Linked DNA regions of Mytilus edulis. The protein of the gene in region 1 interacts with the protein of each later gene in a biochemical or structural test. Links are inferred from orthologs where the notes say so. Each region holds a gene or a part of one and is shown on either strand. Other genes may lie near its edges. The genes, in order: F-box-like/WD repeat-containing protein TBL1XR1 and E3 ubiquitin-protein ligase SIAH1-like.

Region 1 (9,550 bases):
CTGTTTCACACGATGGTGACAGATTTGTTCCTATTAAATAAATAAATAAATAAATAAATAAATAAATAAATAACTAATCTTTATTTCAAGAGGATGATCCCATTAGTTAAAACTAATCTTCCTGAGAGTCCTCAAAATAATAATAACATATTTATAAGTACATAGAGTATTATAAAGTTATATTATACACAATATACAATTGTATTTAAATAATAATGAAAAAGCATATTAATTTGCACAATTGATGAAAAATTTGTAACATTTTGTTTTAAAAGATACAAGTGTATTACTCATTTTTATTTCATTTGGTAAACTGTTCCATATTTGAGAACCTGAATATGTAAATGTTTTCTTTAAAAAATTTGAGATAAATACTCCAAAGGGTGAACTCCGTTTCTCCGGAAGACCTATAAAAGATTTTTTTAAGGTTGGCAGGAACAAAAATAGTTCATATTAGTTTGTATTGACAATCGTTATAGAATATCTGTTTCACACGAGACAGATATGTTCCTATTGATAATCGTTATAGAATATCTGTTTCACACGATGGCGACAGATATGTTTCTATTGTTAATCGTTATAGAATATCTGTTTCACACGATGGCGATAGATATGTTCCTATTGTTAATCGTTATAGAATATTTGTTTCACACGATGGCGACAGATATGTTCCTATGGTTAATCGTTATAGAATATCTGTTTCACACGATGGTGACAGATTTGTTCCTATTGATAATCGTTTATGAATATCTGTTTCACACGATGGCGACAGATATGTTCCTATTGTTAATCGTTCTAGAATATCTGTTTCACACGATGGCAACAGATATGTTCCTATTGTTAATCGTTATAGAATATCTGTTTCACACGAGACAGATATGTTCCTATGGTTAATCGTTATAGAATATCTGTTTTACACAATGTCGACAGATATGTTCCTATTGTTAATCGTTATAGAATATCTGTTTTACACATTGTCGACAGACATGTTCCTATGGTAAATCGTTATAGAATATCTGTTTTACACAATGTCCACAGATATGTTCCTATGGTTAATCGTTATAGAATATCTGTTTTACACAATGTCGACAGATATGTTCCTATGGTTAATCGTTATAGAATATCTGTTTCACACGATGTCGACAGATATGTTCCTATGGTTAATCGTTATAGAATATCTGTTTCACACGATGGCGACAGATATGTTCCTATGTTCCTATGGTTAATTGTTATAGAATATCTGTTTCACACGATGGCGACAGGTTATTCCTATGGTTAATCGTTATAGAATGTCTGTTCCTATTGATAATCGTTATAGAATATATGTTTCACACGATGGCGACAGACATGTTCCTATTGTTAATCGTTATAGAATATCTGTTTCACAGGATGGCGACAGATATGTTCCTATGGTTAATCGTTATAGAATATCTGTTTCACACGATGGCGACAGATATGTTCCTATGTTCCTATGGTTAATTGTTATAGAATATCTGTTTCACACGATGGCGACAGGTTATTCCTATGGTTAATCGTTATAGAATGTCTGTTCCTATTGATAATCGTTATAGAATATATGTTTCACACGATGGCGACAGACATGTTCCTATTGTTAATCGTTATAGAATATCTGTTTCACACGATGGCAACAGATATGTTCCTATTGTTAATCGTTATAGAATATCTGTTTCACACGAGACAGATATGTTCCTATGGTTAATCATTATATCTGTTTTACACAATGTCGACAGATATGTTCCTATTGTTAATCGTTATAGAATATCTGTTTCACACATTGTCGACAGACATGTTCCTATGGTAAATCGTTATAGAATATCTGTTTTACACAATGTCCACAGATATGTTCCTATGGTTAATCGTTATAGAATATCTGTTTTACACAATGTCGACAGACATGTTCCTATGTTTATCGTTATAGAATATCTGTTTCACACGATGTCGACAGATATGTTCCTATGGTTAATCGTTATAGAATGTCTGTTTTACACAATGTCCACAGATATGTTCCTATGGTTAATCGTTATAAAATATCTGTTTCACACGATGTCGACAGATATGTTCCTATGGTTAATCGTTATAGAATATCTGTTTCACACGTTGTCCACAGATATGTTCCTATGGTTAATTGTTATAGAATATCTGTTTCACACGATGTCGACAGATATGTTCCTATGGTTAATTGTTATAGAATATCTGTTTCACACGATGTCAACAGATATGTTCCTATGGTTAATTGTTATAGAATATCTGTTTTACACAATGTCAACAGATATGTTCCTATGGTTAATCGTTATAGAATATCTGTTTTACACGATGGCGACAGATATGTTCCTATGGTTAATCGTTATAGAATATCTGTTTTACACAATGTTAACAGATATGTTCCTATGGTTAATTGTTATAGAATATCTGTTTCACACGTTGTCGACAGATATGTTCCTATGGTTAATCGTTATAGAATATCTGTTTTACACAATGTCAACAGATATGTTCCTATGGTTAATCGTTATAGAATATCTGTTTCACACGATGGCGACAGATATGTTCCTATGGTTAATTGTTATAGAATATCTGTTTCACACGATGGCGACAGGTTATTCCTATGGTTAATCGTTATAGAATGTCTGTTCCTATTGATAATCGTTATAGAATATATGTTTCACACGATGGCGACAGATATGTTCCTATTGTTAATCGTTATAGAATATCTGTTTCACACGATGGTGACAGCTATGTTCCTATTGATAATCGTTATAGAATATATGTTTCACACGAGACAAATATGTTCCTATTGTTAATCGTCATAGAATATCTGTTTCACACGATGGCGATAGATACGATGGCGACAGATATGTTCCTATGGTTAATCGTTAAAGAATATCTGTTTCACACAATGGTGACAGATTTGTTCCTATTGATAATCGTTATAGAATATCTGTTTCACACGAGACAGCTATGTTCCTATTGATAATCGTTATAGAATATCTGTTTCACACGATGGCGACAGATATATTCCTATTGTTAATCGTTATAGAATATCTGTTTCACACGATGGCGATAGAAATGTTCCTATTGTTAATCGTTATAGAATATTTGTTTCACACGTTGGCGACAGATATGTTCCTATGGTTAATCGTTATAGAGTATCTGTTTCACACGATGGTGACAGATTTGTTCCTATTGATAATCGTTTTAGAATATCTGTTTCACACGATGGCGACAGATATGTTCCTATTGTTAATCGTTATAGAACACTGTTTCACACGATGGCGATAGATATGTTCCTATTGTTAATCTCTATAGAATATCTGTTTCACACGATGGCGACAGATATGTTCCTATGGTTAATCCTTATAGAATATCTGTTTCAAACGATGGCGACAGATATGTTCCTATTGTTAATCGTTATAGAAATATCTGTTTCACACGATGGCGACAGATATGTTCCTATTGTTAATTGTTATAGAATATCTGTTTCACACGAGACAGATATGTTCCTATGGTTAATCGTTATAGAATATCTGTTTCACACGATGTCGACAGATATGTTCCTATGGTTATCGTTATAGAATATCTGTTTTACACAATGTCGACAGATATGTTCCTAGGGTTAATCGTTATAGAATACCTGTTACACACAATGTCGACCGATAGGTTCCTATGGTTAATCGTTATAGAATATCTGTTTCACACGATGTCGACAGATATGTTCCTATGGTTATCGTTATAGAATATCTGTTTTACACAATGTCGACAGATATGTTCCTAGGGTTAATCGTTATAGAATACCTGTTACACACAATGTCGACCGATAGGTTCCTATGGTTAATCGTTATAGAATACCTGTTTCACACGATGGCAACAGATATGTTCCTATTGTCTTAAATTCATTTCCGTCTTCTTCTTCCTCGAATACGTATTACCGATCGAATGTGTATTACCGATCGAATGTGTATTACCGATCGAATGTGTATTACTGATCGAATGTATATTCCGATCGAATATGTATTACCGATCGAATAGTATTACCGATCGAATGTGTATTACCGATCGGATGTGTATTACCGATCGAATGTGTATTACCGATCAAATTGTACTTTTCAACGGTTTTTAGCTTACACAACCAAACACGACAGCTAGGTGCCACATGTGAAGCAGATTCTGCTTATCCTTCTGGAGCACATGAGATACCCTCAGTTTTGATTTTAGTAATCACGCGGGTTGCTCAATATTTAGTTTTCTAGTTTGTATTTGTGTAACTGTAAGTCTTTTCGTCGTTTTTGTTTTGTTTTTGTCAATGGCATTGACAGTCGGTATTTTTCTGTTTCTTATCATGTGGACTGTTGCTTGTCTGCAAGTCTTTCCGGCTTTGGACATTTTGGTTTTTATTTTTCTTCGACTATTTCCTTGATTGTCCCTTTCAGTATTTTCTTCCCTATATGCACAGGCACTTGTCTCAGATTCAACCCCTTTTATTTAACTTTATATATAGTATATTTGTATAGTAAGATAATTTAGATCCTTACTATACAAATCTAATAATGCTGAGACAAGTGCCTGTGCCCATTTGGACATACATATGAATGACCCATTGCGAGTATCAAAATGCATATAAATTATTTACTCAAGAACTGACGTTTATTAGATGACTGAGCTAATTGTTTAATCTAAGACTATGAATATTTGTATTTGTATTAGAAATCTCAGGTCACTTGTTTCAGGTAATGTGTTAGTATTTAATCTTTAAAAAATACTGACGGATTTTCCCGTCTTGGGTCCTCTCGTCGGAAAATAAATATTGAGCGTTATCTATTGCAACTCTCTTTTACAGTATTATGAATAACGCTACTAGTAATCTTAACACATTGCGAAAAATCAAGAAGGGACGAATAACAATGGCTTTTGTATGTTTACTTTTCAGTGCACAGTATTTGTTTGTCTTATTTTAGGTCAAAGAGTCACGTTTGTAACTTAAATGGGTCAAAGGTGTCAGTAGGGGAAACTTTTTCTTTTCGTCACTTTAAAATATCCTTAAATTTAATGATCTATCACCAAGAACTATAATAATACCTTGTGTTAATTTACAACTTTAGTTGGTAAACAAATTATACTCTATTGCATAAATTCCCACAATAGAACTTTTAAATTTCCCAACTTAGCCCTTTAGAATGTTGCATTTAATTTATAGGTGAAAATATACTATAAGTTCGGTTGTAGCCTTTAGATTATTGTTAAATATCAACAATCTAACTTGAAATTATAAACAAAACTGTATTATAAGTTTGTGATTTTGACGCCTCTTCGAAACATTTCCAAGGATATCATCTAGGGCTAATATTTTATTTTGTCAAACCCGTTCGAATGGGTCATGCCCAGGCTTACGTCATTCATATATACAGCAGTAAAGCGCCTGTAGTATGCAAAATATTAGAAGCTTCCGCAGAAGAAATCTAACCTATTTTATTTGATTCTACGTAATAAACGGAGTTAATCAAATTACACAGAAATTATTTGAAATATAAAATATTTGATTAATGAGATATAAGCCATATTAAATGGAACATATGAGATTTCTTTTTATGTTGATCTCGCACTATTCATAGAAAAGTAGTACTCTGATTGTTCCGCATTCGTCGGCATACTTCGATGATCGAGGAAATTCAATGGAATACACCGGAGACAATTTTCTTGTTTCAGGAGTAATTTGAAGTGTGGTTTATTGTCTATATTATTATCACATTCATCTTCATTGACAGAACTCGAATAACATTAAGTTTTGGTTATTAATTTAAGGAATACTGTTCATTATAATATTTTATTTGCAATCGTTTCAAATACAGTCTGTTTCACAAAACATATTTATTGACTTTGCGCTTGTTTGTGCATATTTTCATTTGACAGTCGGATTCGTTGTTTTAAAATTTGCTGGTAAGTTGTTTTAATATGTATCAGATGTACTAATTGTTGCTATAATGATAATATTATGTCGTTTAAATTGATGCATGGTAAATAGAAAGTTTTCGTTTCAGTAATTAAGAACACAAATATTGAAACATTCCGGGATTTAGTTTGAGTTTAGAGCAATGACATGAACGTTTCTTAAAGACAAACATTCAGTTTTCATTTCTGTATTTAAGGCGATTATAGTCTATTCCTGTAATTAGTTTTGTGATGATAGGCCAAGCTATTTATAGTCTGTTCCATATTTTTCATTTTCTATAGTCTGTTTTATAGTTGTATTACCTTTTGCTTCAGGTAAAGGTCTGCAGTAAATGACTCTTATTTAAAGACAGTAAAAAGTAACAAGTCATGAGCTTTAGCAGTGACGAAGTGAATTTTTTGGTGTACAGATATTTGCAAGAATCTGGTAATTATTTTTTTTTCTCTATTGATACATTTATATATATAGTTCACACAGTGAGTAGTTTCTATGTACATTACATACATGTACATATGACATTGGATGACATCATACATGTACTGAAGTGAAAGAAAATGAGGTAATGAATAACTTTATCAAATCACTTTTCCAGTAACACCAATACCCTGGCTACATTTGTATCTACCTTTAAATATATTTATATATACTGAAACCTAAAATGTCAGTACATGTTGAAGCATGCTTCAAGTTAGGTCAATAAATATATACTTGGTTCCTGTCTCCATAAAGAAGCATACATGTACATGTTGGATAGCAGGGTTCTCTCTAAGACGTGTATACACGTCCTGGACGCATGGAAATCTAGCTGGACGCATCATTTTTGAAACCTGTGAGTCCCTGGGACGCGTCCTCCTTGTATCCCATGAGTCCAAAACATATCGTTTTGCATAGAAAATTCTGACATTGTTTTGACAGGAAACTATTCCGGAAGTTGACATTTTTATGATATGCGCAGGTCAATATTTTTGTTGACTGATACATATTTTTTTTAATTAAATGTATCTCATACTAAAATATTATAATTCTATTAAAAAGTATCAATAAATATGTTATAGTTACCGATTTTGTAATTTTATGAGTATTTGATAAGCTTGAATATTTCCATGTGTTGAACATCACATCCCTGTCGATTGAAACATAGAAAGTAAAATATATCTGTGAACTTGAAACAAAATGATATAATATTTCACAAATGATGCTTAACATATAAAATATATCATAAAACAGCGTAGATTAAATAAAATATGAATGAGAATAATTTTACTTGTCTTCGATTGAATTTTCTCGTATTGTGCATGTTGAACATCGCGATCGTAAACAGGTAAAAAAAAAATTGAAAATCTGATTAGAACATGATGTAAAATTTATAGTAGTGCTATTTAGCCAAGATCATTATGTTGAACAGTGTATGATAATTTTCATGATTCAAACAAATAATTTAACATATGATATACTGTAAAAGAAAATTTCCTAAACTCTTTATTTATGTCTATAAAATGTGTCAAGTACACTACATGTACAAAATTGTAGTCATGAAATTTTTAAGTACATACATGAGGAAATGAAGTAAACAGAATTTAGCTGAAAACAAGTCCTCACCAATAACAACCAACATTTACATAGGTACTTTTACTTGAAAAAAGTAAATGAAACATTTTAAAATTATGAAGATTATCTGAAACTTAAATATGATCCGAATAAGCTCAGTGTTAAACGTACCCTGTCACACAACTCAACAACATCTGATTGGAACTATGTTTTGACAACAATACTGGTTCACACATATTTCAGAGGAAGTGGGTTATTTGTGAATTTGAAGTCAATCCATCTTGGGTAAATTGAAATGTAGGATTGAGACATGATTTTAATCACATCATATACAAAAATGTCTGAGTTTTACAATGTCCATGTAAATGTAGCTTATAGTCTAAAGTATATGTAGGTGTGAATGCTAATGCATATTCTAGTCCAGAATGGTACAATATAAAATTGAGAATGGAAATGGGGAATGTGCCAAAGAGACAACAACCCGACTATAGAGCAGACAACAGCAGAAGGTCACCAACAGGTCTTCAATGCAACAAGAAATTCTCACACCCAGAGGCGTCCTTCAGCTGGCCCCTAAACAAATATATACTGGTTCAGTGATAATGAACACCATACTAAACTCCAAATTGTACACAAGAAACTAAAAGTTAAAATGATACAAGACTAACAAAGGCCAGAGGCTCCTGACTTGGGACAGGCGCAAAAATGCGGCGGGGTAATAAATGCATGAGAATATTTTATTACTTTTTTTGGCAAATCTAATATGCATACATGTACAATTTATTTCACTTGTATATATAATATTAATAATAATAAAGATTTAAATTTAGAATAACAATTACATATTGCAGAACCAGTATAAGCACACTGTATTTAATTCCCATATTATAAATCCAGATATTCATTACGTTTCATAACATTTGATTTGAACCTAATAAAAGAAAAGTACATTTGGTATGATTGCCAATGAGACAACTATCCACAAAAGACCAAAATGACACGGACATTAACAACTATAGGTCACTGTACGGCATTCAACAATGAGCAAAGCCCATACCGCATAGTCAGCTTTAAAAGGCCCCTATAAGACAATGTAAAACAATTCAAACCAGAAAACTAATGGCCTTATTTATATAATAAAATGAACGAAAAACAAATATGTAACACATAAACAAACGACAACCACTGAATTACAGGCTCCTGCCTTGGGACAGGCACATACATAAATAAAGTGGTGGGGTTAAACATGTTAGCGGGATCCCAACCCTCCCCCTAACCTGGGACAGTGGTATAACAGTACAACATAAGAACGAACTTGTATATGCAGAGCAAAAATACACAATAAAAGCAAAGGGACAACGCTTATATAGGTGTTGTACTGGTTCATCTCAAAAGTCACCGTGAGGCCTTAAATATGGAGCAAAAAAAAACTCTAACCTCACTACAAGTTCCCTAGCATGCATGTGATGAAAGCAAATGAAAGCTGATTAGTAGATACAGTCGCAATTCATTAATGTATAGTACAATCATGTTATTTAAAGGTAAAACAGGCTGTCACAAAGTTTGACTTTTTACATATCATCTTTGACAAGTGTGACTTTCAAGCGATCTGAAAAAAAATATAATGCTCCACAGTGTGCTACATGTACTTTGGAACCCAATGTGGACCAATTTGATAAAGAGGCCCAAAATCAAAATACACGGTCAGTTAGCAGGTTAGATTGAACACATCTGGCCTCAAATTTTAACTTCTCCTTTATCATCTCATCAAGTGCATTTACATGTATATTTAAATATAGAATATAAGAACTTGTTGATTGTAACTTCTTTAAACCTAATTATTAATTTTATTTGTAAGGTTTTGTGCACTCAGCCTATACTTTTGGAATTGAAAGCCATATCAGTCAGTCTAATATCAATGGAGCACTGGTGCCACCAGCAGCATTGCTGAACATCATACAAAAGGGCCTACAGTATACAGAGGCTGAGATAAGCATTGCAGAGGTAAAGACTAGATTTAAATGGTTATAATACCTAAAT
Region 2 (9,434 bases), on another chromosome or scaffold:
TACTAGTCTGAATGAAATTTTACTAGTCTGGGGCATCAGACTAGTGGCTTACTGTGCAGACTGCAAATGCTAGACTGTTTCATAGATCTTTAACAAAAGCATGAAAAGGGAATGTTATCTATATTTTTGCACATCATGCACTTTGAAATTTGGGAATCCAGTAACTAATATAAATAAAGACTACACATGTACTTCTTTAGCATTCATAACATTTATATACATGATATAGTTAAGTGTTAAAACAAATTACTTTAATTTGAATACTGTGGATTCATTTATTTTCATTGGATACCAATTTTCGTGGATTTCTTTGGTACAGGGGACAATAAGATGCACATTGTGCCATAGGAAATGTATGGCAAATTTACAAATTTGAAAGGCATGTTCTATTACTCCACCATGTCAACACCACTGTTGAACCCATAATTGCAGACTATACTACATGTACTACAAATGTATGCTGGCCATGCGTAGTAAACAAAATACAAATGTAGGCGGTTTAGCCTTTTGTAATTATATATTTAACAGAAATATCTTTAAAGGAAGTGCACTAATAATAATTGATCTGACAATTGGTGGGTTTTTAAACCTAACGAAAAAAAACAACAAAACCAAGGTTGTAATTATTCCATTACACTTTGTATTAATCCGTAAACTGCAATTTGAAAATCTGTTACGCTTGAACTTTTGTCATCATACAATTAGGCCAGACTTTTTATTTTATCTGTTTAACGAGAAAATTTGTAAAAAATTAGGGTCGAGGGGGCGAAATAAAAAAAAAAATAAAAGTGCAAAATTGGTCCAGTCGACACTAAAAATAAAACCATTATAAGTGATTTTTTTTTTTTTTTTTTATAGAATTTATCAAAATACAAGAACAATGAAATGAGAACAGACCAGTATATTAATCCAGAGAAATATAAATACATATAATTTATATATGTCTCTGGTTAACCCTTCTATTAATATAAACATAAAAACTATGTTTTGATTCTGTATTTCCACTAATATAGATCCATGGCACCACTCAAATATATCAACCTCGCTGCATATACACTATATATGTATATACCAGTCACCCAGTCAGGAACCTCTTAGTGTATGCAGAGACATACATATACACATGTGTATATATGTCTCTGGTGTAATAGTCCCAGAGTTAAGTAACTTTAACCTATAAATTGAAACAATGCTTATACATGGAAATATATACATTAATCAAGAAGATCTAACCAAAAGTATGTTAATGCGTGTGGAATGCGTAATTTTCCCTTTTGGGATCAATTTTTGTCTGTCAGCAGTGCCATTCATGCGTCTGTAGTCATTATCGCAAGAATCCGGATTTCGGTCATAGCGGGTCCGTTTCTGATGAAATCCTGATTTCGATCCGTAGTTCTACAAATTTAAATGTCGGACGAAGAAAAATTTACAAAAATAAACGATGTTTGATACGCTATTTGGAAAGGAATATGACGTTTCTAATGCAATACATGGATGACAAGTTTACTTGAGGCTAATTTCATCAAGTTCTGATGAAGTAATAACTGATTTTGCCGAAAGTTAGAATGATTTGATGTACGCTCTCGTGTAACAAGTATGAAAAGCATGCCCCCAGCTTAAAAATCTTTTAGAAGAAAATATATCGTGTATGCCTTGAATTTCTTTACTTTTAAATGCAAATTGCTCTTTCATTGACTTGGTAAAAATTAAATATTACCGATAACGAAATTGACTGAAAGCGAGTATCGTGAACAACACATTTTATTTTTTTCTGAGCATTTCGTAACAGTCGGCGGGAAAAATAATAATAAAAGTAAGAAGCACTACTTTTGTTTTTATTCTAAAATCGGGAAAGGTGGAGTCAGCGGATCTCGTTAAACAGATATTAAAAAAAGTCTGGCCTTATCACTTTTCTATTGTGTCGTCAGATATTTTCTATTATGACAAGTATGACATCAAAATTTTATGGAAACTTTAGAGGTACCTAGAAATGCACAAAATAGCGATTAGCAAAATATGATTAGGAAATAGTTCATGGGGCTTGAATTTAGACTGATTTTACAATGGGTTTGCCCTTTATGCTAAATATTTTACCAAGTGGGACAGCAAGGGGTAAAACATCAGCATAAAGGGAAAACATGTGGTAAAATCAGTATAAATTCAAGCCCCCATGAATTATTTCTATTCTATAAATAGGGCAAATACAACATTTTTTGTTATCGATGCGCATTAGGTGAAGGGAAATATTTGCTGGTCCTGTAAATAAACGCACTATTAATTTGACGTAAAAGTGTGTATAATTACGTCATCTTTTCATGACGTCGGGTCATACCTGCCAACTTTTGAAAATGGCCATGGGGGTTTTTGTGCGCGGCACCATTTTTGAGGGTAGAATTTTTCGCGGCATTTTTTCGTGTGTTGATTTGGCTCCTAAAAGTGTCTGACATACTTCTTTTTTGGGGGGTGATAGTTGAAGATGCTATTATAACCTATCTTTTTTTAAATTGTTTGATTGTTGTATTCTTTTTGTTGAGATAAACACCAGTAAGATGACTTTATGTTTGTCTGATACATTGTCAAGAAATAAAAAAAAAGTAATATTTTAATAATTTAATAACAAAAAAAACAACAATATATGAGGGTCTGGAAATGGGGGGGGGGGGGGGGGGGGACTGTTGTTCTGTAAACATTTAATTTTCACCCCTTTTTTCTCTAATCTTCAAAAAATTAACCTCTTTTTTTTCTAATCTTCAAAAAATTTGACCACGCATTTCTCCAATTTTTTTTTGCCCGTTATTCCCTTATCTTCATTTTTTAAGGGCATTATATTCTTTAATCATTTAACCCCATCCAAACCCTCATATATTATATAGATCAATATCACAAGCAGTACTAGAATGTTTGGAGACATCATTAAGGCCACCGTGGTCAACTTTAAAGTCTCTATTGCAAACTTTACAAAAGGCATGTGACAATCCTAACGTTGATTTAGACAACCAGCCCCTGTACTTGACATCATTCTCCCATTTCTCTAAGTATTTGCACGAAGCAACACGCTTTTTTTTCTTAGGCCGTGACAGAACTATTTTGCAAGTGATAACTCGCCCATCATGATTCCAATTTTTATAAATTTGACACCCAAGCTAAAAAAAAAAAAACAACTCAAAATTTCAATTCTTTGATTGTTTACTATGCCGACATTAATCAACTGGTGAATGCGTGATCACTAAATTTTGATTGGATGAAATTTGTCAGACACGATTTGTCTCCCTTGGGAAAACTTTTAAAAGTTCAAAATCGGGAACAAAAATATTTTTCGTGTAAATTTTACTAAAATCGTGTTTTTTGGCTATTTTCAAGATCACGATCGTGTAATCGGGACAGAGGGTCAAAATCGTGTAGTAAACGCCTAAATCGTGAAAGTTGGCAGGTATGTCGGGTATCTCATTCATAAAAAAGCTTATGACGTGCGAGTATGATCCAAACAGCCCAAACAATATATTTCTATTATATTAATATTATCAGCAGTGTGTACTCACAGGGTTAGATTAACGTCATGTTAGAATTTAAGGTGTATAAACTATGATGCCTGTGGCTGTGACTGCATGATATAATTTATGTTGTAAATAGACCAAATGTATGCCATCTCATTTGGAGTATGGTGGTGCATTGAGAATATTGCAGATGTTTATTTTCTTATTTGAAAAGGCATTGTTTTCGTGAAAGTAGAATCGTTAAAAAAAGATGTCTGGTTTGTGAAAAATTTTGTTGTAAAACCGTAAACAGAAATGGGCGATTTGTGCGTTTTATTGCGACTGGATTTTCATTATGACCATCAACACAGTACATTATGACATTTTTAACTATGACATAAGATTTTCTAAATATCAATTAAATATATCATAGTAAACACAGAACATTACATTCTATTTTCTTCTACGAGATAATTATTCTTCATTCTCCATTTATATGCGTTCTACGTCATCATTTCCGTTGTACATATCGTGGTTTTTATAAGTAGTTTTAGCGGGAAATTATGAATTGAAGTTTAAAGTTAACTATATTATAATATAAATTTATATATGAGACAATATCTGAAAAAGTCTAATTTTTGGAAATAAGAAAAAACAACTTTTTTTTTTTAGACCCAGTATTTTAATAGCACAAATCGAAGAACACACATTGGGGATCTAGGAACTGTTGTCTGTAATTCAAACAATTGTTTAATAAGGAAACAATGGCTATTTTAAAAATGATACAAACAAATCCAGTTCTTTCCTGTTACCAAAGTGAATCAATTTAAAAAAGTTTCTAATGGGAATAAGGAATAAGTTTAAGACACTATTTGTGGTTTACTAGTATATCCTGCAACAGTTTATCAAATGCCAATTATTGATTATGCATTTGCAATACAAAAGGTTTAGAAATATACGTAAATATAGTCAGATATGTCGGTAACATGAAAGAATCTTGAGTAACAGCACAACGGTAACAGGACAGAGTTGGTAACAGAAAGGATTTTTCTGCTTTACTTTAATGTTTAAGAAAAATACATCATTTTAAATTGGTTACAATTGGAAGATAACAGCAAACGATGTCATTTATCCTTTGAAACTGTATTTGCAAGATGAAAAATCTGCCTAGGTAATGAAAAATTCTAAAATAAATTCCTTTCTGTTACTATCTACTATACTAGAATTGCACAATGTTCTCTGCTGTTATCAAAAGCAAAAAACCTAATTTTTAATTCAATATACTGTATATTATTTTGAAATTTATTTAATATGGTGGTGATAACTTATATTAAATGAAATGGTTGGCATATAGTAGATTAACTTTTCGATTCTTCAGTAAAATTGTCTTGAACATCCTTCCTGTTACTGATGATGGTTATGCTGTTACTTTTTATCAGGTAACATGACAGAACGTAACAGAAAGGAATTACGCGATAGTTTTTGTCCTTTTTATCACATTAAATGTAAGTGTATTTCCTGTGACATATAACTTTTAAAAAGATGATATAAAAACACACTTAATGCTGTGGTGCACACTTAAAAATATTCTCAGAAAGTGTAAGAAAAGGCTGTAACAGGATAGAACACCAATAAGTATTTTTCTATAAATTCTTACCTTGGATATGGGCTTGAATTTTCAAACCTGGCCGCCTTTCCAACTATTTCTTTGTACTAATGCATTCAGGAAATGATGCTCTTCACAATTCATAATGGGAAAATAACTCTTGGTCTTGTAAACGTTTCCACAGGTAAAAAAAACACAGTGGTAACAGGAGGGAAATCACCCTTGGGGACAAATTTTTTTTTCTGTTAAAATTTGCAAAATTTTATTACATGCTATAGTTATAACATAAAAAGACAAATTAGGGGCAAGTTTATTATATAATATATCATATATGTGAGAATCGGACGCCTGTTTAATTAATTTGGATATTATTTGAATGATTTAGTTTTCAAAAAAACACAGGGGACAACATGATTTTAGGGGGGGTTGAACATTTAAATTACAATATTTTATTGGAAGAAATATAAGAATGAGTGTTTAATTGGCAGGCCATGGTGCATTATATAATTTAGTTTATACTGAAACTTAAAATTTTCAAAAAAGATGGTCGAATAAAAAAATAATTGCTGGTGAAGTGGGAGACATGGAAATTAGACTTTTTCAGATATTGTCTCATATATACTGTAGAAACACTAATTTCCGTGGGGTTAAAATTTCGCGTTTTTGTGTGTTAATAAGATTTCATTGGGATTTAATTTCGTGGATTCCAATAAATGGAATATATATATATAATTGTTAAATTTTCATGGACTCCATATATATATATAAATGGAGAATGAAGAATATATATATATATATATATGACAAGTACACACCCGTGATATCGCGGGTCCGTGACTGAATTAAAGTATATAACTATGCCTAAGCCTTATTTAAGTAATTAGTATTGTCATCTGATAAAGGCATGTCGGTTATAAATACAAAGTTTTCTCTGCTTTCAAATCTTTCTGTTTGAACCCGTCGATCTGGAACTTATCAATTATTGGTAATATTAATTATTTGGAAAACAAAGGTCCTGGCTATCCAGGAATGAGGGCCCTCATGGGGTTTTTGATTATGTGATTACTTGGCCGTTTTTTTAATGATTATTTGATTATTAAGCCAAATATTTCATGATTATTTGATTACCTAGGACTGTATTTTTAGTTTATGATTATTTGATTACTAAAGATAAGCAAATATTTAATGATTATGTGATTATATTGGCAAAAAAATGGTGATTATGTGATTACTAGGACCCCCCATGAGGGGCCTCAGGAATGGAGTATTGTTTAATCAACAGCATTGTCCTATATTAGTTATCTTAGAAAGTCTTGCTGATTGCTGAATAAAACTATAATAGGGAACAATTTGACAATGATTGAATTTAGTAGTGTCCCTTTGATTATGACCCGTGTATATAGCAAAATCCTAAATACACCGTTTGGTGGTGCGCCTGTCAAATGCGGAACGTACAGATAAGGTAATAGCTAACAGGTGAATATACTATTGGTATTGGTATCGGATTCGACCCGGAACTTGTTAATTATTGGCAATATTAATTATGTGGAAAACAAAAGGGTCTGGAGTGGTGTAATTTTTAATCTACACCATTGTCCTATATTAGTTATATATAGAGTTGAATTCTTTGATTTGTCGTTTTTACCCGATGACGGCTGACAAATTGGACCTCGTAATTTTAGTATTATAGATATATTCTTTCCACGAAATAAACGAAATTAAATCCTCCACGAAAATATCCGCTTCTACAGTATATGTAGACGACGATTTCTCATTATACTTAGACTGACTTTAAAACTCAATGACTTGTCTTAAAAGCTTAAAATTCTAGGATGATATTTGAAAAAAAGGCAGGACAGGATTTTGAGTTAAAAAAAAAAAGGGCAGGATGAGTAACTTGGCAAACAAAAAAGGCAGGATGACAATTGTTGTAAAAAAGTCAGGATAAGCTAAGAAAAAAAGACAGGACCGAATAGACTGAAAAATAAAAAGGCAGGACAGAGATTACAACTAAAAAAAAAAAGGCAGGACACAATTTTTTATCCTAGCCCCCCCATAAAAATCAAATAGTAGCTCCCTTAGAACAGGGTATGATTTGGCAAGTGCTGTCAGCACAGTCATAACCGAAATGGGTAGCCAGTATACCCCCACCCGCGGTCTTATCTTGCTTATTTTCTGCTAATTACCACCATGCATGCTTTACGTGCTACATTTTGTGCTGTTTGATTTATTGCATGTTTATATGTTGTATTGTTATGAATGTTAGATATCCTTGCTTGTATACTATGCCGACTCCAAATAAAGCTTATTCTTTTATTATTTATGAACCCGATCGAGACAGGATATCTGGAACATAATAGTATTGACATAATAGAGCATAATAGTCCCAGATGATAAACATATGCTAATGCAGATAACTGATCTCTGATTGTATGTGCAGGTAAACACTTTTTTTTTTGTATTCAGTATAGAAAAGATAAGATCAGATCAGATAAGATGCTAAGAAAACTCTATTTTGACTCGGCATTTATTTTTAAAATAAATATACATAGATTTTTACCGGATATAAAAAAAAAAGAGACATGTACACAATCTCTCAGTGGTTGAACTTGTTTAAGCACATATTTGAAACCAGCATGATAAACATAGGTGGATCCAGGGGGCCTGGGCCCCCTTTCGTTGAAAAAAATTGGTTGATTATATATTAGGGAATCACTAACGCATGACTGGATCCCCCTACCCCTTAGGTCAGTATAAGCGCCCCTTTATAAAAAGTTCTGAATCCGCCACTGATACAATAGTAAAATGGTCCACTGGAATAAACACTATGAAAGCTTGATTTGAAAACAAGTAAAAATCGCGATTACACTTTTTTCTATAAATAAAAGAAGTTCATCAATTACATGTATCAAAAAAATTTATGAGCCACTTTAGACATGAAAAATCCTACAGATAAAGATCTGCGAGATATCTGGGATATATTTTTGGTAGGCACAACAACATCAGAAACGACATTTTTTTTAGTGTAGTTTTAAAGAAATTGCTAAATTTAAAACAAGTTGCTTTCTTTAAAAAAAAGAAAAGCAATACATGAACCTAAGACCGCTAACACTATAAAGGTATATAGGAATGGGTTTTTTTCTGAGACAAGTGCCTATGCTTTTATACACCACATTTAGACTTTTTCCTGGCGGCCAGTTTTTATTGGTGGAGGGAGCCGGAGTTATCGGAGAAAACCACAGACCTTCAATAGGAAAACTAATATAAAAAATACCAAAAACTATTTATATTAAATCATTTATAAACAATACTAATAAACATAAAAGCCAAGAGTGGCATTTTCTGCTAAGTAGCCACAGACAGAAAAAAGGACGCCTCCGGGTGCGGGAGTTTCTCGCTACATTGAACACCCATCGGTGGCCTTCGGCTGTTGTCTGCTCTATGGTCGGGTTGTTGTCGCTTTGACACATTCCCCATTACCTTTCTCAATTTTATTGTCATGGCATAATAATCAGCTCGTTGACTGTGGCCATTATCAGGCAGGAGCAGAAGAAGAAGAAGAAGAAGAAGTATGTTGTTCGTGAACATTTTGTTTTTGTTAAGAGTTGAACACAAAAAACTTGTTTGGCCAATGAAAGAACTCGAGAGCATTCTGTGATTTCTTAGGGATGAAAACATTTTCATTAAATCTGGTCTTACGAGGACTCAATATATTTTAGATTTTATGGAAGAATACAAATTTTCTGCAAAGGAGCTCGAGGTTGGTAAAACTTTTATACACTCCAATGGAGTAGACAGTACGGCAATAGATCATATACTGTACCCTGATCTTCTACGAGAGGATATATTATATGACAAAAAGTTAGATATTATAAATCATGTATCAGACCACTATCCAATTCAGGCTGAAATCAACTTTGAGTTTTCAATTGGGTCAAATAAATTAAAATCATCAAAAAGAGACAAAATCTTCCGTAAAGTTAATTGGGATAAACTGGGTAAAGATAAATATCAAGAGTCCATAGAAAAAGGAATAGATGCATTAAAATTATATCGTAACACCACTGATGCATGGTATTAGTATCGATGCATTTTCTAACATAAATAACATCATTGACTCTGCTACCAAATCAGTAGCTCATGCGCACAAGGCATTCAGGAAACGACTGAAGCTGAAAGTGATGAATGAGAATATAGACCACGCTATTAAAGCAAAGAAACAAGCGCATGCATTATGGAAATTTCAAGGGAGGCCAGCTGACCCTTGCAATGAGCTAGTTATCAATAAAAAAACAAACAACATATGAATTATAAGAAAGCAGTGCAGGAATGAAATTGTTCAAAGACGGATTAAT

What was found.
Region 2: the proteins of F-box-like/WD repeat-containing protein TBL1XR1 (region 1) and E3 ubiquitin-protein ligase SIAH1-like form a complex in vitro, tested with the Drosophila melanogaster proteins (2 studies listed by BioGRID). The link is inferred for Mytilus edulis from reciprocal best matches to the Drosophila melanogaster genes ebi and sina.

Annotation. Positions count from the first base shown.
Region 1 is NC_092346.1:85,057,119-85,066,668, reverse strand, and holds the start of F-box-like/WD repeat-containing protein TBL1XR1, read left to right. Parts: upstream 1-5,406; 5' UTR 5,407-5,949; intron 5,950-6,276; 5' UTR 6,277-6,330; coding exon 6,331-6,388; intron 6,389-9,368; coding exon 9,369-9,514; intron 9,515-9,550.
Region 2 is NC_092350.1:59,086,725-59,096,158, forward strand, and holds the start of E3 ubiquitin-protein ligase SIAH1-like, read right to left. Parts: upstream 4,005-9,434; 5' UTR 3,924-4,004; intron 1-3,923. UniProt on the Drosophila melanogaster protein: E3 ubiquitin-protein ligase that is required for specification of R7 photoreceptor cell fate in the eye by mediating the ubiquitination and subsequent proteasomal degradation of Tramtrack (ttk).